Canis lupus familiaris: one gene and its partners. The protein of the gene in region 6 purifies or fractionates together with the protein of the main gene of each other region. This does not show direct contact. Links are inferred from orthologs where the notes say so. Each region holds a gene or a part of one and is shown on either strand. Other genes may lie near its edges. The genes, in order: SIAH1, FHL2, RAC1, PKM, ZMIZ2, CTNNB1 and CDH10.

Region 1 (4,186 bases), on a different chromosome or scaffold from region 6:
GAAATACTTAAGTTTTATGAAAAACATACTGTGAGCAAAAAGAGTAAAGGATTTAAAAAAAAAAAAAAACACAAATTACACGAATTATGCATTTTGAGTATTATAGGAGTTGTGGACCAGATAAAATCTCTTTTATCAAAATGTCCCAAAACACATGTAGAATTCCCTTTCTTAAAAAAATATTAAAAAATCCCTTTGGATGAATTATACAATATGGAATAAATGCTGAAACAGAAACCAGACTGTAAACAACTAAGAAACCCTGTGTTAAGTAGCTTAAGTTCAACCAAAGCTGTTTTCACTGAACTTTCCCCTCTCCCTCGGTGTTCAATTGCCCTGCTCAGTCCATTTCTTTTCCATTCTAAGGCAGCTCGAAACAGTGACAGGGAGTCAGTCACAAGTAATCCAAAGGATCACCCAGGACATCAGCTCTGATTAACTCCGCCTAATGGCAAACAGTTATCTGCTTCAGTTGTAGATTTAGGGATGGAGGGGTCGTCAGGGGAAGGATCTGCTGCCATCCCATCATGCACCTTCATCTATTAAGTCTTCCCCTAGAATCTGAACACCAGCTACGTGTTAATTAATCTTACTTCCTACTGATCAGTAGGCCCCATAATAAAGGTGGGAGAAAGAGAAGAGAAATGGAGGGTAATCTCAAAAGTTTTTAGGTACTCAGAGAAAGTACATCTTTCTACTCTATTTCCATTGCACAATAAAATTACATATAATTTGAAAAGGGGAAGAAAAGAAGTAATTAAAGAATAAAGATTAAAACACCAGAGACACATGCAACATTGGGGACAGTAAACAGGTTAAGAATTCCTTGTATCCTAGGGTTCACTAGTGTTGCTGAAGCATTCATCAGCACAGGAATAAATATTATTTGAGATAAATGTCATCTGGAAGAAACGACAACAATGTAACTAGTTTGTCAGGCTAAATGAAAGATAAAGCAAATAAATACCTTTCCCAGGAATCTACTTTGTTAGGATATGACAGGCCATATTTGTCTCAGGGATAACAAAAGATCAGTCTACTGATGTCCCAAGACTGTATTCCCAACAACTATACAAACCATATTTCTAACAAAACTAAAACTGAATGCCTCAAATTTAATGCTTCCTCAATGTAATCATTATTGCTGCAAAGAACCTGACTTTAAGAAAACAACGCTGGTTACCCATGTGACTATATAAAAGCAACTGGACTTCTAGATTACTCAAGGATAGACACCAAGTGAGGGTTGAAGGTGACAAAAAAAATAGTCCACTGTCAACTAAAGTTAATATTCTACAATTCAAGAGTCTACAAAAGTACAGAATTCCACCATAAGGTGGCTTGTCACATGGACTTAAGGGACAACGGGAATCAATTCTCATCACCTGAAACACTGTACAACCCAGGTGTTTGATTCTTTGTGAGTACGATGATCCATGCATTTTCTACCACTTGGAAACAACGGGCTCAGCCTTGCCAAAATGCCCCACGTATATGCTGTATGCCTGTCTCGTGGTCCATTTTATACTGCTCACTTATGTGAGCAATGTTAGAATTGGAAAGTGGCTCCCTGCACACAAAACAGTCTAAACCACTGATGCCTTTTCAAATTACTAAACCAAACAAGCTAATCACATCAAGGAACAGTAAACTCGGCTTGTATTCAAAATAATAGAACTAGGAAAATATAAGCAAGAAAAATACTATCGTTTCATTTCCAGACCGAGCAAATAACTATACATAATCATCAATCATTCAGGCTTACATTCCAATATTATCTTTATTACTTTTGCAAACATTGTAAAAAAAACAAAAAACAAAAAACAAAAAAACAGTTTAAATCTCTAAAGAGTGAAAACAAGTGAAATGAGGCCGGTATTTCTTGCGAATGGAGGTATTACAGGACAGAAGGTGCTAAAACCTCCCAAAGCACCAAAGGTGGAACCCAGCTCCATCTTCAAACAAAAAGAACCCCAACCACAGAGCAGCCCTGCAGTAGGAACCACGGACTCAAGTGTCTTCAGACAACCCTGCAGGAGTGATGACGTAACCTGAAGCTTGGTTTAAACAGAGAAAAGTACAGTAGATCAAAAGAAACAGCAATGCAAACTAGAGCTCAATTACATTGCAGCCACTCCCTGATCCCGATTCCCCCAGCTCACAACTTTTCCCGGTTCATACTTTAAGCATCCCAGTCTCTTGGTGTCAATACCTTTTCTCTTCCTTGTCCCAGCTGCTGGCAGACATGTGAGCAAGACGCCCCTCCAGGAGTACGGAAAAGGTAAGGGAGACTTCCCGGTCATGAGAAGTCAGGCGGCTCATAGCCCTTCCCCCAGGAGCAAACACGATTTGTAACAGAGGCCCTGCTGGATGGACACGTTCTGCTCCTAAGCACGTCGGAGTTCAAGTCTTCAAGCAGCGAAGGTAAGCGCCCTGCTCTAGGATCCCCCATTCACTCCTCCGAAGCACCGGCTGCCGCAGCAGCAGAGGAACGAAGCCTCTCCCGTCCCCTCAGGAGTCCACCACACCTCCCCGCGAGCTCCAATTCGCCTGCGTTTCCAAAAATGGGCGCCATCACCGGAGCTGTCCTCCGCTGGGCCCTCAACCGCCTGCCCTGGAAGTTTGTCTTCCCCACATTCACTAGCCCGCCAGCGTGGGTGAAGGATGGGGCTGCAGGGTGCGCGGGGGCTGGTCAGGCGCACCCCGGAGCCAGCTCGGAGCTGCCGCAGGGTCCGGCCCGCCGGAGAGCCACGCGGGGCCCAGGGCTGGGCCTGGCGGTGCTGGGGGAGCCTGCTCCAGCCCGCAGCGCCCGCCGGCCTCCGCTCGCAGCGCCCAGCCCAGCCCAGCCCAGCCCAGCCGCAGCGAGCGCGGGGCGGGGCCGGCGGGGCCTGCGGGGCCGGACAGGGCGGGGCGGGGCGGGGCCGGCGCGGTGGTCACGCCCGCAAGCCCCGCCCCCCAGCCCAGGGCCGCTGGGGCGCTGCCCCGCACAACCCAGACCCTGCCCTCGACCCCAGGCAACACTGCAACCTCACCCATTTCCACAAGCTTACATTTAGTTCGAAACATGTCTTTCTGTAGAAAACAGATGCTGCCAATTCTGTATGATTTCAACCTAAGACCTACATAGAGTATATGAGAATTACGTGGCCAGAAAAGTGCTCTTCTCCTGGTTAACCATGTGTGAACTGTGCTCATAGAGTAAAAGCACTCTCCCCACTTCGTTCACTATATACTGGGCGTCAACGACCCGATTTCCTCAATTCTAACTCACTCCTCCACTTCTATCCCTGGTGACATCATACTTGAAACTCCTTCTCTTCCTTCGAATAGATTGCAGTGAGAGTAGTAAACACCCGTAACTCTATTAAACTCCTTCAACCTCCAAACTGAGATTATATTCTCTTCCCAGTCTGGGAAAACCATCTTAAATGGCCTCATTAAACAGAGAAGCTTGTGTTTTTAAAGAAGCATTACACGGGCCCCAATAAAGTCCTGGGCCTCAGATTTGCCCTGCGTCAGGTGGTACACTCAGGGGTTTAACCTGTCATTATATCATGCTTATAGGGCAGCCTTTAAACGCACAGCAGGAGCTCATGGTGGGAATGAACCCTGTGCAGTAAATTGTAGATTACCCATTTTCCAAATCAAATTTTAGTTCCAATCACTTCCAGACCCTATTGTATTCAGTCATTTCAACCTCACGTTAATATTAGGCTACATGAAACATCATTGGGAATAGAAATATGGATGAAGTTAGATAAAGTCTGCTCACTGACAAATATAAATTATTATTACCTACATTTTCATTTCCTAATACATTCACCCTAGAGCGGTCTCAGGCTGATAGGGCAGACGACTTCAAATGTTTTAGGCATCCCTGCCTTTCCAGAGTTAAAACTGAACCTAAATGTATAAAACAAGTCAAAGAGAAGGAATGATGGGGGGGAGGGGGGATCACTTTTCCCAAACTTCCGAAAGAGGTTACAGAGCCCTACAGAGTCTCTGAAAACCATTAACCTACAGACAAACCTCTCAACAAGTGAGTCAGGACAATAAAAGTGGCATCATTCTGGAGTCTCCTACACACAGCTGGATCCAAACCTAGTCTTCACCACCTGCTCAACCATAAAATGGGGACAAAATTTCCAGCCTCACGCAGCTTTTGTCTGGATTAAAGGAGATGGGT
Region 2 (3,500 bases), on a different chromosome or scaffold from region 6:
CCAGTACCATACTGTCAATGCTTTTTTTCTTGTAACTTTCTGAATATTTTTTTTTTTTGCTCTACTTACTTTATTGTAGGAATACAGTTTAGGATACGTATAACATACAACAGCTGTGTGCATCGATTATTTATGCCACCGGGAAGGCTTCTGGTCACCAGCAGGCTACTAGGTAAGTTTTTAGGGACTCAAAAGTTCTATGTGGTTTTTCAACTGTGCAGGGGGGTTGGTCCCTTTCAACTCTGTGTTGTTCAAAGGTCAACTATATAAAGGCCCTTACATACTACAGACATTATATCCATTTTACAAGTGAGTAAACTGAGACCCAGAGAAATTAAGGGACTTGCCTGAGAATTTGCTAGCTAAAGACAAAGCAGGTACTTGGATTCAGGAGTCTATCATATATTCTTTTCTTTTTATTTATTTATTTTTAATTTTTTTAGAATTTAAATTCAATTTGCCAACATAAAAAATACGGAACAGCTTCACAAATTTGCCTGTCATCCTTGTGCGGGAGCCACGCTAATCTTCTCTGTGTTGTTCCAATTTTAGTATATGTGCTGCCGAAGTGAGCACCGTATATTCTTTTCATTAAACTATAATGTATTAATGATCTTCCTATAAATTCCCGCCTTGGAACAGAATTTATGCAAAATACATTCAGTGGCAAGGTGTCTGTGTGGACAGAGAAGGTGGGTGTAGTAAGAGGTTTGCTCTACGTGGAATCCACACTCTTGTCCTCTCTGCACCCACATGCCCACCCGCACCCCGCATGGCCCAGCTGGCTCAGACATGCTCGTGGGTGTCACTGTCCCAGAGCAGCCCTCCCTAAACACCAGCTTGGCTCCCACTCCTCCGACTGGTTCAGCTGGCCCCTGTGTACGCTCTGTTACGACTGTTTTCCTCCAAAGCACGCTTGTCGATAAGCACTTGAACGTTTGCCACCGAAGTGTGTTTCCCCCCAGGCCCTAGTAGCCCCGAGCACCTCCTGCGCTGCGGGAGGGTGGATGTTACTGGTGTGAATGCTTCCACCAGTCCTGATGAACACCCACAGGGCTGTGCTTCCCGGAGGATGCATTACCTTCACTTCTGCCACCGAACACAGTAGCAATAAGGTTGGGAGGAAGATAATGCAAGAAAAGCAAATGACGTGAACTTTCCGTGGATCTTGATGAGAAAGAGCAAACCAAACAAAAAGGGAGTGAGCAGAGAAGAAAGAGGCTTCCTGACATAAACACAGGAAGGAGCGATTCATCTAAGGAGGAAGCGAAAAACAGCAGAAAAGTAATATAATCTTACGAGTAGAAGTTGGAAGATGTGGAATTTAAAATCGTAGTTTAAAAAATGAGACGGACACGAGGCCGAGGGAGACGAGAGAGCATGAAGGCGAGTGAGCAATACTCTGCCCTTTGGAAAGGCGCCAGCAGGTCGGGCATTCGAGGTCAGGCCGACCAGCAGAGGGAACAGCAGCCGGGCTCTTCCGCAGACGGAGGCCCAACAGCCGCGTCAGTGAACAGGCCGGAGCCAAACAGGCTCTGCGATCGCTCCCCAGCAGGCCCTGCCAGGGCAAAGGACGGCAGGCGTGGCGCTCCTTTTCTGCCTTTGACTAATGGCCGTGACAGCACGGCACGAGATGAGCGGGCTGGGTGCAACGAGTGACCTGTCCCCTGTCCCAGCCACAACTTTCCTTTGCTTCTCACATCCCTCCCTCCCACGAGGTTCAGCAGCTCGTTTCTTGTCTACTGATGGAGGACAGTGTAACAGGAGCTCTGGGATAGTAAGTTTTCCTCCCCTTTAACGTCATGTCATGAATAGGAGCAAAAACTCGGCAGTGCTCTAGGAGGGAGGGCTACAGGCTCCCATCTCAGGTCCCAGTGGCCCTTGTGCGGTCAAAAGAAGGCCTGGGATGGGGGTCCTTCCAGTGGATAAAATGCACACGTGCACATGAGAATTTTGGGATGCGGGGCCGGACAGGTGAGACTCTTGTGCCATCCCAGTACCAAGGGTGTTGTCCCCGGGGAAAGGGGGCTGACAGCCAAGGCAAACAGACTGGAATACACGAGGTCCCGGGGGAGGTGAGAGCTACCTTTTTACACTGAACACACTGCAAGGCGTACTGTTTCTCATAGCAGGGCACACAGAAGTTCTGGTTGTCCTTAGGGATGAAGCTCTTGGTACCGATGGGCTGCTGGCAGCGGTGGCAGGTGAAGCAGGTCTCGTGCCAGCTGCTGTCTTTGTACTCCATCTTGCGGGTACCTGGCACAAGGGGCAAGAAGACGGCAAAGAGCAGAGCTGACGACATGACAGGCCTGCACTCCCAGCGCCCCTCGTCAAGAACCTGCCACCACCTAGTTTTGTGACTGTGGCATCACTGTGGCTCTCAGAGGCTGGCCTCCAAATGGGACTGTTTGGGAGTGGGCAGGGATTGTGTATTTTTGGGGGTTCACTGCTGTACACCTTGCTCCCAGAACAGTCTCTGTGCATACTCGAGGTTTATTTGTCCAGCAGGGAGGTAATGAACGTTAGGTGGGAAAAGGATCTGTCACTCCATGTCTCAGTAGGCAAAGCAGAAAGAGCAAGCTGGCCTAGCTCAGACCAGTCCCAACGGAGTGGGACACAGCCCTGCAGCCAGTTAATGAGCACAGGATGAGGGACACCTGGGTGGCTCAGTGGTTGAGCATCTGCCTTTGGCTCAGGTTGGACCCCGGGATCCTGGGATCGAGTCCTGCACTGGGCTCCCTGCAGGAAGCCTGCTTCTGCTTCTCCCTCTGCTGCATCTCTGCCTCCCTCTCTGTGTCTCTCATGAACATAAATAAAATCTTAAAAAAAAAACAAAAAAAAAAAAACACCGGATGGAAAGTGGTGGTGCTGTACACGAACCTAGAGTGTCAAGCCTGATCCCATGAGGAGCCTCCACACCGACCGATCACCTTATATGGCCCGAGGTGTAAACCAAGCTGCTGGGTCTCCACGCTCTCCCCGCTGCACTGAATGCAGCTGTTAAAAGCCACAAGTGATGCCCGGATGGCTAATTTAGCAATTTTCTGATTCTAATCTTGTGACATTGCATTTCCTTTCGAATAACTGTTGTCGTGTGCTATGTTTATGTGATTTCTTCAAGTAGATGAAGAAGTCCTAGAGAACGGAAATGCTGTTTGGTTCACCCCCACCCCCATCCCCACCCACCCTTGAACCCGCCCCTGAGCCGGAGTCACAGCAAATGCTCAGGATTTGTGGACATTTTCCAATACTTTTCCAAGAGAATAAAAGTATGTGTATTTTACAGAAAGAGGTGACAGATGTGTTCAAGACAGATGCGTATGCAAGCACGCTTTGCAGGCAGCAACAAGGTACATTTTGCGGGGAAAGGAGGGTAAGAAGTGAAAAAAAAGAAACGTGCTCTGAATACCTGAGCCAGCCGGGGAGGACGGGGGTGCTGTGGCTGCGCACAGTCTGTGCCGCCCCCGTTTTGCAGCTGGGCTTTTCCTGGAGCGCAGCCG
Region 3 (3,500 bases), on a different chromosome or scaffold from region 6:
ATTTTTCTCACAGAGGCAGAATTGCAAGACATGAGGCTTTTTCTTTACGGTATTTAGTTGTCATTCCATTCTGTAAACCACATTGGAGCCTTACGCAGACCTCTGCTTTGCTGTCTCAATGTAACAAGACCCTAAGTTTTAGTGTTGAGAGTTGAGAGTATGTAAAAATGATTTTGAATTTTATCTTACAGGCTGATATATTGTGTCTTGTTTGGTACTTGCCCTGGTTTGAATTGCAATCCCAGATTTTTTCTTTTTTTTTTTTTCCTTTTCAAGATTTTATTCCTGAGAGGCAGAGGCAAAGACCTAGGCAGAGAAGCAGGCTCCCCACGAGGAGCCGGATGTGGGACTCAATCCCAGGGCCTCGGGATCACGCTCTGAGCCAAAGTCAGATAGATGCTAAACCACTGAGCCACCTAGGCGTCCTCAGAATTAATTTTTAGTGAAGTACTTGGTGGTACTTAGTGATTCTTGTTTGTTTTTTAAGTCCACCTTATTTTCTGCCTGCCAGGCTTCTCTGGGCTGCCTCTTATCATTAACTAGTTTTTGTGTAACAACTTTAAGTTAATTTAAGTACATGTGTATACTCACTCTTGAAATGTTACATGATAGCTTTTCTTTTCTTTTTTTAAGATTTTATTCATTCATAGAAGAAAGAGTCAGGGACAGGCAGAGGGAGAAGCAGGCTCGCCTCACACCATAACTTTTCAAAGCATTGCTTTGTGTTACCATAGCAGTTTGGTTGCAGGCCTCGGTGACCAAGGCTTGATGGTGATTGCCCTGCACTTAGTGCGGGTGTTCTGGAAGCACTGTAGAGTATGGCTTTGTGGTATGCCACCTTGTTGAAGATGAGTAACGTGTACACAAGTCAACAAGTGGGTTTGAGAGAGGGACTAATTTATACTTTGTTTCTTTCTGGAGAGAAAAATCTTAATGTTCTCTTCATTAAAAACAAAGGTTTTCTCTTGCTGACAGTCATTTGTTTTAGTTCAGTGGACTACCTTGTCCTTTGTGTCTGTCCCAGGCGTGTTTCTCCAGGTGCAGTGTTTTCGCCTTCCCCATACCCTGCAGCCCTTTCTCCTTCCATGTGGCTGCTCTGGCTCCTTGTGCCTGCATGCTGGCACCTTTGCTTTCAGGGGAGCCTCCAGGCCACTCCTGGCCTTGGCACACCTCTGAGACCCTTGCTATGATAGTCACTCAAACCCCCCATCTATGCCTTATGTTCCAGGGCTAAAGTGTTTTTTCTCCATTCTACAGCTTTGACAATTACTCTGCCAATGTTATGGTAGATGGAAAACCAGTGAATCTGGGCTTATGGGATACAGCTGGACAAGAAGATTATGACAGATTACGTCCCTTATCCTATCCGCAAACAGTAAGGATCATGACTGCTTTTTAATGTGTCCTTTAGAGTATGTAATTTTGACTGTGTAATTGCGTATCACCTACAGGTTTGCTTATACAGTTGGCACTTGAATGCACAGGTTTGAACTGCAGAGATCCACTTACACCAGGACTTTTTTTCCATAAATACATTACGGTACTGTAAGCATAGTTCCTCCTCAAGATTTTCTGGTTTTTTTTTTTTTTTTTTTTTTGTTCCTCAAGATTTTCTTAGTGACATTTTCTCTGGCTTACTTTAGTGTAAGAATGCAGTGTATATTACACATAACATATTTTACATGTATTAATCAACTGGTTATGTTATTGGTAAGGCTTCCCAGTCAGTAGCAGGCTGTTTCTTAAAGTTTCGGGGAGTCAAAGTAATACACAGGGTTTTGACTGCATAGGGGGTAGTCAGCACCTTTAACTACCCGCGTTGTTCAAGGGCCAGCTGTATTGCCATCTTTAGTAGCAAGGTTAAGTTCGGTAGTGAATGTCCTAGATGAGGACCAAGGATTTGTTTCTAATTTTTTAGCCTTACCAGCTACTAACGATGGTGCTATGTGTTCTACATGCTTTCATTTTAATTTCAGGACAGCCGCATGAAATAGGTACTGTTTTGTTCTTGCAAACCAGTTTCAACAATAATTACTTTTAAGATCAGTTTGCTTTGTGCCACAGAGTCAATTTAAACAGTTAAGGTTTTAAAAATCAAGTTAATGACTTCTCTTTTGGAATTAATATTATTTTTCTAATAAAACACATGCTCATCTTTCTACAGCGTTAGTATCTAAGTCTTCTCAATGTATATTCAGGTTTCGGTTTTGTAAAAATATGTCCACTGTGTCCAGTCAGAAAAACTTCTAGATTAGTTTTGCTTCCATTTCAGAGAATTTTAAATGATGTGTGTATCAAAGTGAATCAGTAATAGCTGGTTAAAATATGCTTAGAAACCACTTTACTTGAAATAAGCAATTGTCTTATTTGTACCATTTGCTTATCTTGTTACACGTTTGTTAGTCATTTTTAAAGTGTTTTAAACCAACTCTAGAGGCTCAGATGACTCACTGGCCAAAGGAAAATGCTCTAGGGGCAGTCAAGTGAATTTGTCAGGTTGAAATCCCATGCTCTGCTTCCTAGCTCTGTGACCCTGGCAGGTTTCTTCACAGCTCTAGTCATGACCTGTTTTCTCCTAGGATTAGATTAGCAATCAGTATAAGGCACACTGAATAGTTCCAGGCACATCACAGACAGTCTAGTGTAGCTGAGGTGAAGATTCATAGATCTGGACAGCTCTTCAAGTCCGAGCTGGCTGGGCCCAAATGAACAGAAGTTGCTGTACATGCTCTCAGCAAGCTAGGATGACCAGAGGAGGATCAGGTGGAGACATTCTGGAGTTTTTTAAAGTTAACTTTCTATTTAGTAAAATAAATTTAAAACTCTATTTTTTAGATTTATTTGAGACAGAAAGCACGAGAGTAGGGGGAGGGTGCGAGGGAGAGAACAAATCCCAAGCAGACCCTGTACTCAGTGCAGGGGTCGATGCAGGGCTCGATCTCATGACCCTGAGATCGTGACCAGAGCCAAAACCAAGGGTCAGACACTTAACCAACTGAGCCACCCAGGGGCCCCTAAACTTAGTGTGCGCATGTGCAAATGGGGAAAAGGGGCAGAGGGAGAGAATCTTCAAGCAGACTGCCTGCTGAGTGCAGAGCCCTGTGTGGGGCTCAATCTCATGACCCAGAGATCACAACCTGAGCTGAAATCAAGAGTTGGACACTCAGGACACACAACAAACTGAGCCAGCCAGCTATTCCCCCCACCCCCTTCCTTTTTTAAAGTTTTAAAGTTTTTTCCATGCAACAGTCATTGTCTTTTGTGTTTATTTTTTCAGCTGGAGGAATTCTCAAATACAATTAATTTGAACTGTGGATTTTTGCTACATTATAGTAATAGTGTTCAATAAAGACCAAACCCATAAAATGCTAAGTCTGAATGAGTGATGCCTCATTTAATCTCCAGCTAAAAATTAACTGTGATTAAGTTTTAAAAGTCAGCTCATAATCCCCAAATGGTTCGAAGTCTTCAGTATGTTTAGGAAACTTCTGTCCCCAGTG
Region 4 (3,500 bases), on a different chromosome or scaffold from region 6:
CCCGCCCGCCGAGGTAGCCAGACTGGGTGACCCTTACTGCCTCCCACCACAAGGTGGCGCAAGCCGCCCAGCCCAGGGACCAGGGAGGCCCCGACTCTTCCTCATCAATTGAAATGGCAGCTGCCGGGGACCTTTGGACATCATTTTATACTCTAGAGGGTGGAGTAGTCCCTCTCATGCACGGACATCCTACTTTTATTAGGGACAAAGGCCATGAGTACGTGATCTGTGTGTAGGACACCCCATGATGTAACGCTCTAATCTTTTCTTAACCCTCAACAAGGAGCAGATGCCCAAGAAGGGACATTCCTGACTATCCAGGATCCTTTGCTTTGGGCCCCGGATGGGAAGACAGAGAAGTGGGCAGCTCAGCCCCAGAACTCCAAGGCTCCTCCTCCCTCCTGGGCTTAGCCCAGAACTTCAGGGAATGGGAAGGAGGAGTCAGAGAACGTTCCCTGGGAAGACAGCTAGGACTCTTGCACACTCCAAGGTCAGCATGTTCCCCTTTCTCTAGGATCCCAGGGAGATCAGTGCCCAAGCACCGTCCCCACCCCTCCAGGCAGGTGCTAGCCCTTGCTCCCAGCCACGCACCAACATTCATGGCCAAGTTCACCCGGAGGTCCACGTCCTCAGCCCAGGCCTCCTGCACTGGGTCCTTACACACCACAGGGAAGATGCCGCGGTACAGGTGGGCCTGGCGAGCAGTCTGGTGGTTCCGGGTCACAGCGATGATGGGGGCGCGGGGGCGGTATCTAGCCACCTGGTGAGCGGACCTGCGACAGGATGACGGCCAAGCAGAAGAGACCATTAAACAGTGTTCCAGAGCCTCCCAGAGCCCCCCACAGGGCCTTCAGCAACAACTCAGCCTCTAATCCAACTCATTCTGCCAGCATCAGACTCTGGCCACTTTAGCATCTGCTCCCCGTGCCAGGGCTGCCCCTCGTCCTCCACCTTCCGAGGAACAGAATCCGACTCTTCTTCCTATGCTATCTGTCCACTTGGCTTTTTACCCCCCTCCCCACAGCCCAGGGCCCCAGGATCACACCGACCCGGCGCGGTCAGTCTCACCCACTCACCCCACACGACTCAGTTGGCAGAAGCCCCTCCTCTGAACTTTCCCATCCTGGCACAGATACAGCCCTGCCCAACCTCACCAGCACCCATTCCTCCTGCTGCCAGCAGCAGCTACAAGCCAAGCAGCATGTGAATAGCACCTGACTCTTGGCATCTGCAAAGAACAGCAGCAGAGCTCACCAGCCCCCCAGGGAACCTACAAAGCCAGCCCTCTACTGCTGTGCCCTCTCCCCCAGCCTACATGGCCCCCAAGTCCCTAAAACAGTCCTAGCAACCCAGCTCTAGAGCCAAACCTGGGTATTACCCAGGAGGCTAGACCAGGAGATGGGAAGGTTAATGTGGGAGGCTCTGTCTGTGCAGAGTCCCCTGGAGGGTAGAGGGCCCCTCTGGGCCCCAGTGCCACATGCTTCCTTGAACATTGTACACTTGTGGCTGTAGACCGGTCTCAGGAGCTGGGGAGGGGCTTGCTTGCAGGAGGCACTGGGCGTCGGAAGGCAAGCCCTAAGGACACCGACAGGTGTCAGGGAAACTTAAGCCATGTCACAGCAGAGGCTGCCCTGCTAAAGGCCTGGCCCCCATACAAGGCTTCAGAGGGAAGCAAGTGCTGAAGTCGGGACTGGTTAGAGTGAAATCCCAGAAGACTGGAGCTAAAAATAGCCAAAGAGCAAAGGCTGGACCTTTCCACAAAGGTCAACCCTGATGGTTGGAGCTGTTTATCCGGAGCCCTCTGCTGAGGTAATCTGCACAGATCTCATGTCCCGGTTCTACACGCAACCCCACCTGCCGCACCTCCATGCTCGGGGACCACCAGCCTGACCCCATCCCTTCCCCTTCCAGGAATTCCTGTGGCCCTGCAGGCAGGGATGAGGAGCACACTCCCAGACTGGGGCAATGACAGAGGCTGACTCCATGTCCAGATGAGGAGGAGATCCCAAGCCAAGGCCAATCAGCAGCCTCAGCTCGGCGGCCCGACACTAGGGTGCCAGCAAGATGACGTGGTGACCTTTCCTAGGCCTGAATCTGCTTGCCTTTGGGGCTCAAAGACAGACAGAGACAGGTGCACCAACCCAACAGCACGTCAGTGAACAGCACTAATCTCCCAAACTGAACTTTTAAAGGGCATGTAGTGGCTGGAATGAACAAAACTGGTCATCAATTACTTTCTTAAAAGATGAACTTTCACATACTCAAGTGAGCATGTGCAGTCTGTCGTTCGGCAACGAAGTCTCTAGTCTAACCTCGGGTCCTCAGGCCCAGGTGGCAGGCAGAGGGGCTTACCTGGGCTCAGGGCCATCTGAGCCCCGATCAACGCACGGCTCTCGGGACGCCCAGGGAAGGTGCCCCGAGCAGGGCGTGCCCTGGGAGCCGCTGCCACCTCCTACCTGCCAGACTTGGTGAGCACGATTATGGCCCCGCTGCAACACTTGAAGGAGGCCTCCACGGCGCCCACGGCGGCGGCTTCTGTGGGGTCGCTGGTAATGGGCGCCAGGCGGCGGAGTTCCTCAAATAATTGCAAGTGGTAGATGGCGGCCTCTGCCTCACGGGCAATCTAGGGGAGCAACATCCGTCCAGAGGGACAGGAGGGGGACAGGACTGTCAGAGCGGTGTCGCACGGGAGACGGAGGGGAAGAGGCTCACAGACAGCTGGTGAGGGACGTGTCCCCGGACAGGAGGCCAAGAGGCGGCGGACAACTGGAGCCGCGGACCCGCGCAAGACCAAGGTTCATGGGAACTGGCCCATCACCAGGTGCCTGTGGCAGCCACTGTGCCTACCGAGCCGGAGGCCCTTGCGGTCCTGCCCTGCCCTGACTCCCTGGCTGGCTTCCTGCAGACGAGGAGAGGACTGGAGCCGGGCCCCAGCTGCAGGGCTGCGCCCCAGCCGTCTTCTAGATCAGCTGGAGCAAGAGGCTGGTTATCCTACGGAGTTACCTGCCCTTGGGGCCCTACCTGCCAGACTCCGTCAGAACTATCAAAGCTGCTGCTAAACACTTATAAGAAGCCTCCACGCTGCCCATGGCCATGGCTTCCATGAGGTCTGTGGAGTGGCTTGAGCCTCGCACAAGTTCTTCAAACAGCTTGCGGTGGAACATGGCTGCCTCAGCCTCACGAGCTATCTGTAAGGTTTGGAGGGGGGAGGAGAAGCAAGAAGAGGGAAGGAGGAGGGAGAAAAACGAGAGACAACACATGGAAAGACAGAATGGGGAATTAATCAGAGGAAGGTAACCTTAGGTTAATTGGCTAAATCTGTCCTTCATGCAGATGCGAAGAGGCAGCATGATGAAAGCCCAACTGCTCAGGGATGGCTGGAGAATTTCCAGCATCAACTGCTGCTGTTTCCTCTCCAAAAGAGGAAAAATGGGGTTTTCCATTCTGGAAGGATTTTCTGATTGGGGGTGGGGGGGTAGAGGGAGACAAGATGGCGGCAG
Region 5 (4,129 bases), on a different chromosome or scaffold from region 6:
GATCCAGGTAAAAACTTTATGGTTGTCACTTCCACTTAGGCGGGGAGGAGGGGCTCTGCGTCCTTTCTTGGACATCTCGCCAGGGGCACAGACATTATTGGGTCCCACACAGGGTCATGCTGACTTGGTCCTTTGGGCCAGGTGGTGTCTGATGGGCATCTTTCTTGTAAAGGTACTTTCCTTTTTTTTTCTTTTTTCTTTTAAGATTTCATTTATTTATTTGACAAAGAGAGCGTGAGCGGGGGGAGGAGCAGAGAGAGAAGCAGACTCCCCACCCAGCCAGGAGCCAGACCCAGGGCTGGATCCCAGGACCCCAGGACCATGACCTGAGCCAAAGGCAGACACTTAGCCACCGAGGGGCCCAGTTAAGATACTATCCTATGCTCATAATGAACTGTAGCCTGGAGGAAGATCTTGGCACCATAAATATTTTCTTTCTTTTCTTTCTTTTCGTTCTTTCTTTTCTTTTTTTTTTTTTTTTAAGATTTTATTTATTTATTCATGAGAGACAGAGAGAGACACTGGCAGAGGAAGAAGCAGGCTCCATGCAGGGAGCCCGACGTGGGACTAGATCCCGGGGCTCCAGGATCACGCCCTGGGCTCAAGGCGGCGCTAAACCGCTGAGCCACCCGGGCTGCCCTGAAATACATTTTCTTACGTGTAGTTGGCACAGTAAAAAACATGAATTGTGGGGTGACTGGAAGAACATGGTCTCCCTAAAGCCAGGGCAGAAAAAAGGACTTAAAGGGTAATAGTAGCACGTGGAGGAGCCAGCGGATAAGAAACGGCGCTTGGTCCGCTAAAGGGGCGCAGCGACCCAGAGACCGCAGCAGCACGTGCGGCCAGCCCGGCTCCCCTCCCGGACCCCGGACCCCGGCCCCCGGCCCCCGGCCCCCGGCCCCCGGCCCCGGCCCCGGCCCCGGCCCCGGGAGGCCCCGCCCTCAGCCAGGCCCTACCCCCCGGAAGGCCGGCCTTTTGCCAGGCCCCTCCCCTCCCCTCCCCCGAAAGCCCCATCTCTCCCCGGGAGGCCCCGCCCCTCCGGCCGGCCCCGCCCCCAGCCGGGCTCCTCCCCTCCGCCCGGCCTCTCTCAGATTGGCGCCCCGCCCCCGCGCCCCCAGTCCTCCGGCCGGCCTCCGTCTGACCCGCCCCGCCCGCACTCAGGCCCCGCCCCTCCAGCCGCCCCCGCCCTCGACCGGGCCCCCTCCGCCAGGCCCCGCCCCCTAGCCGGGCTCCGACACCCTTCCCTGACAGGCCCCGCCCATCGGCAGGCCCCGTCGCCGCCGCCCGCCCCCGCCGCTCCGCCAGGCCCCGCCCCTCCATCAGGCCCCGCCCCGGTGGCAGGCTGCAGGGCGCGCGGGGGACTCCGCAGACACGGCTTTCGGACAGGTGTGGAGGGGGCGGGGGCGCCGGTGGTGGTCCGCCGCCGCTGGCGCTGCCCGGCCCGCCCCCGGCCCGCCCCCGGCCCGCCCCCGGCCCGGCCTGCAGCCCGGGCTCCTGCAGGCCCGCGGCCGCCCCGCGCGAGCGCCGGCTCTGGGATCCACTGCTCTGGCCTGGGGGCGGGGCCGGCGCGCGGCGTCATGCATATGCATGAGCGGCGCGGCGGCTCCATTGTGCCCTCGGAGCGGGCGGCGGCGCGATGGCGCGGGTGGCGGCGGCGGCGGCCCCGCGGCGGCGGGCGGCGCGGAGGGCGGGCTGAGCGCATGGAGCGGCGTGGGCCGGGGGCCTCGGCGGCGAGGGGCCGGGCTAGGCCGGGCGGAGGTGAGCGGGCCGGGTGGACAGGTGCGGGCGGCGGGGGCGGCAGGTGCGGCAGGTGCGCGCGGCGGGCAGGTGCGGCGCTCGGGGCCCGCGCTGCGGCGCCTCTGCCGGGCTCGGGCCGGGGTGGAGGCGGCCCCGCCGCCCACCTGCCGCACCTGCCGCGTGCGCGTCGTGCTCTCGGGCCCTCCGGCCGGCGCGCGGGCGGCCCTCACCTGAGCCTTTGTTGGGGTGGGCTGGAAGCCGGCCGGGCGCCCGAGGGGTGTGCGCGGCCCCGGCGACCTCCCGAGCCGGGAGGATGGCCCGGGGCCCTCGCCCCGCCTGGCCGCGCCGCCGCCACGCCGCGCTCGGGCTCGCCTCCGGGCTGGCTCTGGGCCGTGCGCGCCCACCAGCTGGGCGGCGTGGGGCCGCGGGGCCGCCCGAGGCCGGCGGAGCAGGCTGACCTTTCAGCCTCCCGCCGTTGTTTCTAAGGGGACACCCCTCGTCCCAGCCGCGCCGTCGCCGGGGCGGGAGGGTGCCCTCTCCCAGGACCCCCGTTTGCCTCTCTCCCTGCCCCGCTCTCCTTTCCCTCCTGCTTGCTCCCCTCCGGCCCGGATGCGCCCGTCCCTGCCCAGCTCTGTTCCTGATGGTTGCAGACCATCCACAGCCACGTCTGTAAGTCGGTTTCGCAGGGGCATACACGGAACGTGTGACTTGATCTGGGGGACGGTGGTGGATGCAGGGAGGGTGAGCAGACTCAGCCACCGCTTCCTGGGGAGCTAGAGCCCTCGGGCCTCCATCCAGGCTTCGTGAGAGGGGGGCCTGGCCTCCCCCAGCAGGTACTGGGCCTGAGGACTGGTCATGCCCAGGGGCTGGTTACAGGCAGGGGACAGAGGTCAGGGAGGAGGAAGGTAATGACAGGCAGGCAGGGTGCGCCTGGGGAGGACTCCAGGGACAGCCCGACTTCCTCACGAAGTGTCCACTGGCACTGCGTCCACTACAGGACTCAGGGTTTGAGCACAGAATGGCAGGTGTGTGTCCTCCGCTTTCCTAGGGTGGCTGCCACGTACCCATTGTGCACCCAGGCCCTTCGTAAGTGCTCGTTCCTGGGTGCTTTAGATGGGCTCCAGCACTTAGGCTGGTCGGTGTTGTGGCCTCACGTGGAGAGCAGCAGGACTTCCAGCCATCCAAGCATGTGAGTCCCCCCCTTGTGTCGTCCTGCCTCACTGAGCCACCATTTCCACCTTCTCCAAGCCCATCAGACTTGGGTGTCCCTCTGCTTGGACACGTGCCCTGGAAGCACAGGCTCCCTGCTGCCGGAGTGCCTGCCCCAGGACCACAGAGCAGGCGTGCCTTTCCGAGGTCAGGTGGCCTGTCATGGGGTGTGCTGCTCCTGGCTGACCAGGCGGCAGGGACGGAGGAGAGGTGCAAGAGAGCTGACCCACATTAACGTCTGCCTGTGGTTGGCACCCAGGAGACTGGGTGCAGCTGCTCCGAGGCCCTGGGAGGGGGTCTGAGTAGCGAGTTTCTGTAGCCGTCTTTCTGGGAGATGTGACCCAACCCAGAGAAAGCTCCAGGCTAACCACGTGCCAGGGCGGTTCTGCCGAGGGGTCCTGGCTTCCCGCTGGAGCTGTGGACAGCAGAGCCTCGGACCAGCAGAAGGGCCCCCGCCTCAGGCCTGCTCGGGCCTCCTTGTGCGCACGTGCACTCAGGCACACACGCACACACACACCAGGGCTTCTCCAGCTGTACCTCTCAGGCCAGGAAGTGAGAGGAGGGTCTTGCATTCAGAGCAGGGCTCTCCCTTTGTCGGGAGCAGAGGGCCATGGGGTACCCAACTTGGAGAGTGCAGGTCTCCCCAAGGAGGAGACCAGACTTAGTTTGGCAGGAAGTCACACACACACACACACACACACACACACACACACGCCCTGCACACCCAGACACCCATGCATGCAGTCAGCTCAGGGGGAACTGGAAATCTCTGTGGTCTCGTCCATAGCAGAGCAGCCTTTGGGGTGGAATTCCCCCGACCCATGTGATGTAGGAGTCGTCCTGGGGCCCCAGACCAGTAGCCTCTGCCTCCCCCACTCTCCACCTGGGGTCCCTGTAGCGGCAGCATCCTCACCCAGGCTCGTTAGGGATGCGGGTCCTCAGTTCCAGTCCTACAGTTGTGTGTGATGCGCCGGAGCTGGAGCTGGGGCCGCGGGAGTCCTCAGTGGTGCTCCCCCACCTGGCCAGGGGCTCGTCTTCCACCCACCCTTTGCTTCTGTAACCACAGAGTGGGCCTGGCCAACCCCACCAGCTTTGTTGTAGGGAAGGGTGGCCCTGGGCATTTCAGTGGAGAGAACAGGCCAAGCGGCGGCGGTTTTCTCATTAAACTTTTATTTTGAGGGAA
Region 6 (4,029 bases):
CCCTGAACCCCATTACCCCAGATTCCCATACTGGGACCACGTTTAGCCCCTCTTACACCATTCCACTCAAATTCAGGCATCCCAGTACTCCCAAGAATATCTCAACTTTTCCCCAATATTCTTCCTCTCACACTGATCAGAACAAAAGAAACAGAAACCATGTTGGTATGCAACAGTACTGTCCATATATCAATGGTATATCAAAGCAGATTTCTTGAAAATTTGAGCCAGAACAGGTGCTTAGAACTCCTAATGATTTGGCTCTTGGCTTTTCCTAATCATTATTCACCTACTTAAAATGAAGTATCATAAAATAATTACTCATTCTTGCCCTTTACTTTCCTGCAGACCCCTACTTCCAAACTATCCTGATTTTCTAAAAACAAATCTCCTCACTTCATGCCTCTGCTGATACTGAACTGCTTTCCATTACTTTTTAAAAACATATTCTACAAGGCCCTGAAGGACCTTCCCTGCTAATCTCAATACTCTCATCTCAAACCTTTCCTCTTCTTTACTCTGTAAATTCATCCCTCTCCTCTCTCAGTAGGACTTTCAAAGGTGTCAATTCCTCTCTCTCACCTTCACCTAGTCAGTCTTTCCTCATCCTTGTGAACTGAACTCCACTATCACTTCCTTCCACTGGTCTCTCTAAACCTTCCAAGCAGGGTGTGGTTCACGTATATGCTATCACAGCCCCTCTACTTCTTCCAGATACATGAATTAAATAGTAATTAGGTTATTATCTCTAATTAGTGCCTATCTTCCACCTAAGTATGAAAGCTCTAAGTATGCCCACTATATCCTTATCACCTAGCCTTATATAAACAAATATTTAAAGAAAAAGAGATGTCCAGCTTTTTTTCTAGGATACACACAAAGGGTGAGGCATACAAAGAATGTGCAAGAGTCCACAGAAGGACATGACACTGGATTCCCCAATGCTCCATGAGCCATACTCAGAAAAATTCTTTTACCTTGCTTTCTTGATTCCCGTAAGCTAAAATCTGAAGGCAGTCTGTTGTAATAGCCAAGAATTTAACATTTGTTTTGTTGAGCAAGGCAACCATTTTCTGCAGTCCACCAGCTAAACGCACTGCCATTTTAGCTCCTTCTTGATGTAATAAAAGGTTGTGGAGAGTTGTAATGGCATAAAATAATACAGAATCCACTGGTGAACTGGGAAGAAAAAAAAAGCCTCATCAGAAAGGCTGTGATGGCACCCTTCTCCTCCTTAGCTTCAAGCATCCTAACCATGTTTTCTTACCCAAGCATCTTCACCAGGGCAGGAATGCCCCCAGACTTAAAGATGGCCAGCAAGCCCTCACGATGATGAGAAAGATTGTGCAAGGTCCCAGCAGTACAGCGAGCTGTTTCCACATCATTTGTATTCTGCATGGTGCGTACAATAGCAGACACCATCTGAGGAGAACGCATGATGGCGTGTCTGGAAGCTTCCTTTTTAGAAAGCTGATGGACCATAACTGCAGCCTTATTAACCACCACCTATAATGTATAGGAATTAAGAGACAGAATTATGATTTTCAAATACTGATACCGGATAAACATTCTGAGGCTCCTTGAGAGTTTCCTTTAAAGCAGATTAAAAGCTAGCCATGTCCTTACTTACCTGGTCCTCATCATTTAGCAGTTTTGTCAGTTCAGGGATTGCACGTGTGGCAAGTTCTGCATCATCTTGATAGTTAATCAAATTTACAACTGCATGTTTCAGCATCTGTGATGGTTCAGCCAAACGCTGGACATTAGTAGGATGAGCAGCATCGAACTGTGTAGATGGGATCTGCATGCCTTCATCTAATGTCTCAGGGAACATAGCAGCCCGCACCCTCTGAGCTCGAGTCATTGCATACTGACCATCAATATCTGGAAAAAATAAATTCAACACTCACTGTCCATAATTCAGCATTCACCTGAATTTGTGCTACCCTAAGTGGTAAAGGTAACATTACAATCACTCCATGTTTTCTTTACCACACCATTTTATTTAAGCTATTACATACTAACTTTTTAAAGAATCATTCTTAAAATTGCCTTCTAACTTTTATTAAGGCAATAAAATACTTACCAGCTACTTGTTCTTGAGTGAAGGATTGAGAAAAGCCCTGTTCCCACTCATACAGGACTTGGGTGGTATCCACATCTTCTTCCTCGGGATTGCCTTTACCACTGAGAGAAGGAGCTGTGGTAGTGGCACCAGAATGGATTCCAGAATCCAGGTAAGACTGTTGCTGCCAGTGACTAACAGCTGCTTTTCTGTCTGGCTCCATGGCCATGTCCAGCTCCATCAAATCAGCTATAAAAATCAAACAATATTAGCATTACCACCATGGAGATGTTATATTCATTAAAATATCTGTGATGACCCATTGAAATATTGTTAGAAATAGTCAAATCTGAAAGTCAGCCAAGAATAAACAACGATAGCCAGGATTAGCTCAGTGATGAAATATCTATACTCTTAAGGGACCACCTAACAGTTACTCACTGAATTAGTGGAAGAATGGTACTGCATCCAGGCTCCAGAAGCAGTCATCCAGACTAGATTCCTGCTGGTGGCTTGTTTGCTATTTCACCAAGCCATTAGGAGGAGTGAGCAGAAAATGGAGCAAAAGGTAGCCTGACAAGTAAGCAGGGAGAGAGTAAAGCAGGGGGATCTGAGCCAGACTGGGTTAATGGCAATGAAGCAGAGCCCCGATTCAGTAACTAAAGACTTTTGATACAAACCTTGGGTAGCCATTCCCCACACAGGATTTTCAAAACCGTTGTATGGTGTGCTTCAGGTACCCTAAAAGAGTTAATCAAGTCATTAGGATTTAAAATTAGTTTTTAGTACTTTTAAGTCACTAGGATGACCTGCTAAACATCATGGATTATATCCACAAAAAGCCCCCAAATCCCCCTTTACCATGTGAGAGTGAAAGCCAGACTCCATGGTCTCCTTAATACACTCCCCACAGCTCCACCACTGCTGAACCTCTTTTAGTAAACACCTCTTTTTAGGTAGAAATACAAATTACAGTTATTCAGGATGTCAGAAAGCTTAATTATTGTTGAGGAGGAAGAAAATTTATAGTGAAAGCCAAGGTAGGAAATAACTCCTCGAATTCCCAAAATACCTCTCCCCTCTCTTTTTAACTTCTTTCACTGAAAAATTCAGAGATCTTTCTGGTGAGACTGGACATGGACTTTAAAAAAAAACTAGATTTTCACTAATGGTTTTTCTTTCCTGATAGAATACAAAGACATCTAAAATACAAAGTAGGTTTTGCTGACTGGATCAGAACACTGGGTTTGAGATCTGTTACTAACTAAAATTACTTTTCAAATGTAAATCTGCAACACAATAATCACCCTTTTAGTAAAATCTGTCTAGTTCAAATTTATAGTATGGATGTATTATAAATACAACTATTACCGACCAGAATGCTGTTTTGATCATTACAAAAAATATATATATATTACAAAAGTACTATATATATAAATACATAATTTATATATATGTAAATCCTAGCATCTATGTTTACATTTTGGCCTCACTGTGTAATAGGAAAACACTGAATCACATGGGAAACTACTTGCAAATTAGAACTGTGGGTCTTGTAAAGGCTCACAACCACCAGATATTCCTAATAATAACATTTCCTTTATCACAAAGTATTCCCGTAAACAAGTTCATCTTACACTACAACTTAACATATTGGTTTACCAATATGTAAAGATATGGACTAAAATATTTAAGCATGAAGTGAGTACTCTATCCATGTAAAAAGGAGTTTAAATGTTTAAAGAAGTTGGAAACTACACTCTGAAGTCCTATGTGCTCTATGTAAAGGAAGCATGTGTTAATTATTCCTAAAATTGCTCTTGCAGTACTAGATTTTTATAGCCACAAAGGTCACTTGATATGTAAAGATAACAAGAGTTATGGATACAATTGTTTAGTGTCCACAGTAGAAACACAACTGATGATCTTTTTTTACATGACAAAATGAAGGTCAGAAAATAATA
Region 7 (3,500 bases), on a different chromosome or scaffold from region 6:
CAATCATTCAACTTTGAACTCTTAAATTGTCAAGTGTGGCATCATCACTCTCGTGTAAGTATGACTGTTAATGTTTTGTTCTTCGTTTCCCACCTTTTTTCTACTTTAAAGACCATAAAGACTTAAATTAATAAACACTGATTCATGATTCCTGACCTGTTTCAGGCTCCACAGAGAAATATGGCTGCCCTTGGAGTATGCTGTAAATAACTCTGGCGCTGTTCCCGTAGGAAGGGTCATCGGCATCTGTAGCTGTGACTTGCACCACAGAAGTACCTGAAGTATCCAAATTCAGCTTAGTTCTGCACAGTACCAGAAGGAGGAGCAAAAGCACTGGTTTTCATGGAAGACTTGAATGATTTTTGGCTTTTATAATGACCTCTTAAAGAAATATTCATGTATAACTGACATGAAAATCATACACACAGTGTTATTACAGGAAAATTGTGAATTCAGCTGTATATTTATTTAGCCAACAGGTATATTTTTATGCATGCACAGAGAAGACCACAATGTGTCAGATGATAATAAATGCAGTTACTTTACAAGTGCTCAGGTTTGATATTTAAATTCATTTTCACATAATAGATTTGTTGCGTGTAAAGGGCATATCTGATCACAAAGGAGTAGGTGTTCTTCTCTTTCCTCCTCTCCACTAATTAACTATAAAAATAATTAACATCTGCTCTAGAATACAATTTTATGAATAGATTAAATTCCAGATTTAGAAACAATCCAAGATGATCCCAAGTTCCATGAACTATTAAAAGCAATTTAATAAAGTTCAAGAAATATAAAGGGGCTTTATAATAAAGCAATTGCCAAAGTCCTTGGGATTTAGGGAAGTAAATATTAAATAAGAATCCCAGAACAATGCTTTTGAGAAATGCAGAGTTAAAAATGTGCTGTTATAACTGTTAAAAGTATCAGAATTATTTCATCGGTTTATATGACTTCTCTCACATTTGAGAAATAAATCTTTTCTATTAAGTCTAAACATGTATCTCTAAAAAATGTTATCATTGTTTCCTAATATGTATTTTTGTCATTCTCCACTTAACAAAAAAGAAGTCTTGACTTCTCTGCTTACAAATACAATTTTCATTTATTTCCAGTGAAAAAGAAAATGCTGTTATCTTGAATGTTATACTTATAGCTTTTTCATGTCCTCTGTCTTATAGATCCTACAACCTAAATTTTAAATTCTGTATCAGTATGTGATTATGGAATTTCAACTGGTTTATTTGAATAACAGATTTATATCAGCAGAGTTTTATATTTAATGATTATAATTAAAAGATGTTTTGAAATAATATGAATCAGGTAATGTAATCAATGCCACCTTTTGTATTATCTAGATAACCCAGACAAATTCTTTAGACAAATTATAACTAGAGTATGTATGCAAAGACTCTACATCTACAATGTTCTGAACGTGCTTATAATATATTTGAGGTCAGAATTTTACACAGCTATTATACAAAGCTATGTGACAAAGATGCTATATTTTCATAGTTTTCTACTGAAGTTCAGTGGTATTTTCTTGGGTTTTTGAGGGGTGTATCTCCTTATTTGTAAAGATTTACAAATCCATAGCATGTAAAAAAATGATTAATCTTTTTTTTCTCACTCATTTTCTACTTGAGGAAATTAAATAAGTACTCTTAGGAGGGAATCAAAGAAGATGTCAGTTAACTGATCACAGTATTTTAAAAATTTCTTGATAATAATTTCTTATACTTTCTGCATACCATGATAATTCTTATAAATGAACTTACCTACGACGGACATTTCTGGAACACTAGCTGTATAAATTTCTTCTGGGAACGTTGGCTCATTGTCATTGATATCATGGATTTTGATCACAAACTCAGACTCTGGTTCTACTGGTCTCAAAGTTCTTCTGTTAATAGCTTGTGCACGCAGTGTATAAAAGGCCTTTTCTTCCCTATCAATTCTTCTTGTGGCATGAATGTCACCTGTTTTTTCATCAATAATAAAAAGAGTACCTGCTCCATCTCCAGATAAAATATATTTGAGTGATCCATCTCCTTTATCTTGGTCTGAATGAAGCTGGGGGAAATAAAAAAGAGCATATCCATGATAATGTCTAAAGGTACATAATGCTGAAAGAATTCAAAGTCTCTCACGTCCCAACACAGAATAATGGGGTCAGTTATCTTAGTTCTTGAAATGAAAGTTGAATAAGTATGAACACACTCATCTATATATCTTAAACAATAAGACTAGCTTTTCACATATCTGTGTGATTTTTACTCTAAGTGGATAAAAGTAATAAAAATAAACCAAACACAGTTCCCCTCTTTGCTTTGCTTGGCAAATAACCATTTTCATAGGCAATTAACTCCTGACAAAGACATATGTCATCAGTCTTGACATGCTGTGTAAACATTACTTCTCTCATCTCTTTCTGTGAGTGGAGAATTCTTTTACTCTCATATTATTGAGGAAATGCTTATAAACTTGTTATTTGTTATTGCATTTCCATTGGAGAATTAGTGATATTCTGTAAGACAGGCTAAGTTGTATGAGATATAGCTCCTATGTTAGAAACACTATGTATTATTTTTTGGTTCACACACACACAAACAACTGCCCCACAGGTAGGTTTGGAACTCAGGGAAAGAGTACAAATCGATGTCTATGTTTTAAAATTATAAATCAAGTTAATAAATTCTACAATAAATTATGCTTCTCTGTAGGCTCCTACCTTGTCAAATCTAGTTTCTTCATAACCTCAAACAAGTTTTGTGCAGGAAAAAGACAATGCAAAGCAAGTCTGTTTCTTGCCCTTTGCTTATGCCCACAACACTCATCTTTTAGAATTCACTAATCACGTCAAAGAGCTTTGCAGGAATTCATGAGGACTTCTCAGGCCAGTGTGCCACGCATCCCAGTGCAAATGCTATCCAGGATTCCATGGTTTCATGGGTAAATTCCATCAATGCTGTATTTTAACAGATGCCCACTAGGACTGCCCCCAGAGTTAAGGACAAATATAACAGTGGATACGTCTGGCCTTTGGGTGTTGACCTGAAGAAAAGAATCTCCCTGGACTTAGAAGCAAGCCCAGGGATGTTTAGGCAGGGAATAATAGTTTCAAGTACCTTGAGTATGTTCTGGAAATTGATGTGTAGGTTCCAGGTATGAATAGCCCCTGCTCTGCATAGAGTTCTTACCCTGAGTGGTGGGGCTTAGGTGTAGGAGGGACACAGCATGGCTTTGTAAAATACAAGGATTATAAGTTTTTCTTTAATTGTACCACCCAACCAATAAACATTTTCTAGGCTGGGATCATAGTTTGATTATTTACAATAAGATTATTTTTTTAATTTTTAATTTTGTTTTTATCATATCATGAACACAATATGTAGATTTTCTAAACTTCCATAAGTATTTATTATAACTTAGACATCCTCACAAACATGTTTTTTTTAATTTACAAATTCATGTAAAATGTAGTCATAAATCAGAATAGG

Evidence for each region.
Region 1: the proteins of CTNNB1 (region 6) and SIAH1 purify together in Homo sapiens (affinity purification with western blotting; 4 studies listed by BioGRID). This does not show direct contact. The link is inferred for Canis lupus familiaris from reciprocal best matches to the Homo sapiens genes CTNNB1 and SIAH1.
Region 2: the proteins of CTNNB1 (region 6) and FHL2 purify together in Homo sapiens (affinity purification with western blotting; 3 studies listed by BioGRID, with this or other methods). This does not show direct contact. The link is inferred for Canis lupus familiaris from reciprocal best matches to the Homo sapiens genes CTNNB1 and FHL2.
Region 3: the proteins of CTNNB1 (region 6) and RAC1 purify together in Homo sapiens (affinity purification with western blotting; 4 studies listed by BioGRID, with this or other methods). This does not show direct contact. The link is inferred for Canis lupus familiaris from reciprocal best matches to the Homo sapiens genes CTNNB1 and RAC1.
Region 4: the proteins of CTNNB1 (region 6) and PKM purify together in Homo sapiens (affinity purification with western blotting; 5 studies listed by BioGRID and IntAct, with this or other methods). This does not show direct contact. The link is inferred for Canis lupus familiaris from reciprocal best matches to the Homo sapiens genes CTNNB1 and PKM.
Region 5: the proteins of CTNNB1 (region 6) and ZMIZ2 purify together in Homo sapiens (affinity purification with western blotting; 3 studies listed by BioGRID, with this or other methods). This does not show direct contact. The link is inferred for Canis lupus familiaris from reciprocal best matches to the Homo sapiens genes CTNNB1 and ZMIZ2.
Region 7: the proteins of CTNNB1 (region 6) and CDH10 purify together in Homo sapiens (affinity purification with mass spectrometry; 3 studies listed by BioGRID and IntAct, with this or other methods). This does not show direct contact. The link is inferred for Canis lupus familiaris from reciprocal best matches to the Homo sapiens genes CTNNB1 and CDH10.

What each region holds. Positions count from the first base shown.
Region 1 is NC_049223.1:65,986,453-65,990,638, reverse strand, and holds the start of SIAH1 (E3 ubiquitin-protein ligase SIAH1), read right to left. Parts: upstream 2,801-4,186; 5' UTR 2,304-2,800; coding exon 2,213-2,303; intron 1-2,212. UniProt on the Homo sapiens protein: E3 ubiquitin-protein ligase that mediates ubiquitination and subsequent proteasomal degradation of target proteins.
Region 2 is NC_049231.1:39,109,777-39,113,276, reverse strand, and holds part of FHL2 (four and a half LIM domains protein 2), read right to left. Parts: intron 2,257-3,500; coding exon 2,087-2,256; intron 577-2,086; exon of another isoform or gene 469-576; intron 173-468; exon of another isoform or gene 80-172; intron 1-79. UniProt on the Homo sapiens protein: May function as a molecular transmitter linking various signaling pathways to transcriptional regulation. Negatively regulates the transcriptional repressor E4F1 and may function in cell growth.
Region 3 is NC_049227.1:11,830,575-11,834,074, forward strand, and holds part of RAC1 (ras-related C3 botulinum toxin substrate 1 precursor), read left to right. Parts: intron 1-1,257; coding exon 1,258-1,375; intron 1,376-3,500. UniProt on the Homo sapiens protein: Plasma membrane-associated small GTPase which cycles between active GTP-bound and inactive GDP-bound states.
Region 4 is NC_049251.1:36,154,083-36,157,582, forward strand, and holds part of PKM (pyruvate kinase PKM), read right to left. Parts: exon of another isoform or gene 3,189-3,500; coding exon 3,022-3,188; exon of another isoform or gene 2,624-3,021; coding exon of another isoform or gene 2,457-2,623; exon of another isoform or gene 1,912-2,456; intron 1,810-1,911; exon of another isoform or gene 774-1,809; coding exon 592-773; exon of another isoform or gene 1-591. UniProt on the Homo sapiens protein: Catalyzes the final rate-limiting step of glycolysis by mediating the transfer of a phosphoryl group from phosphoenolpyruvate (PEP) to ADP, generating ATP.
Region 5 is NC_049237.1:14,026,627-14,030,755, reverse strand, and holds the start of ZMIZ2 (zinc finger MIZ domain-containing protein 2), read left to right. Parts: upstream 1-1,329; 5' UTR 1,330-1,386; intron 1,387-1,674; exon of another isoform or gene 1,675-1,758; intron 1,759-2,384; exon of another isoform or gene 2,385-2,406; intron 2,407-2,785; exon of another isoform or gene 2,786-2,926; intron 2,927-4,129. UniProt on the Homo sapiens protein: Increases ligand-dependent transcriptional activity of AR and other nuclear hormone receptors.
Region 6 is NC_049244.1:10,789,144-10,793,172, reverse strand, and holds the start of CTNNB1 (catenin beta-1), read right to left. Parts: upstream 2,801-4,029; 5' UTR 2,759-2,800; coding exon 2,746-2,758; intron 2,315-2,745; coding exon 2,087-2,314; intron 1,885-2,086; coding exon 1,631-1,884; intron 1,507-1,630; coding exon 1,268-1,506; intron 1,180-1,267; coding exon 978-1,179; intron 1-977. UniProt on the Homo sapiens protein: Key downstream component of the canonical Wnt signaling pathway.
Region 7 is NC_049225.1:82,132,518-82,136,017, reverse strand, and holds part of CDH10 (cadherin-10), read right to left. Parts: intron 2,074-3,500; coding exon 1,779-2,073; intron 277-1,778; coding exon 157-276; intron 1-156. UniProt on the Homo sapiens protein: Cadherins are calcium-dependent cell adhesion proteins. They preferentially interact with themselves in a homophilic manner in connecting cells; cadherins may thus contribute to the sorting of heterogeneous cell types.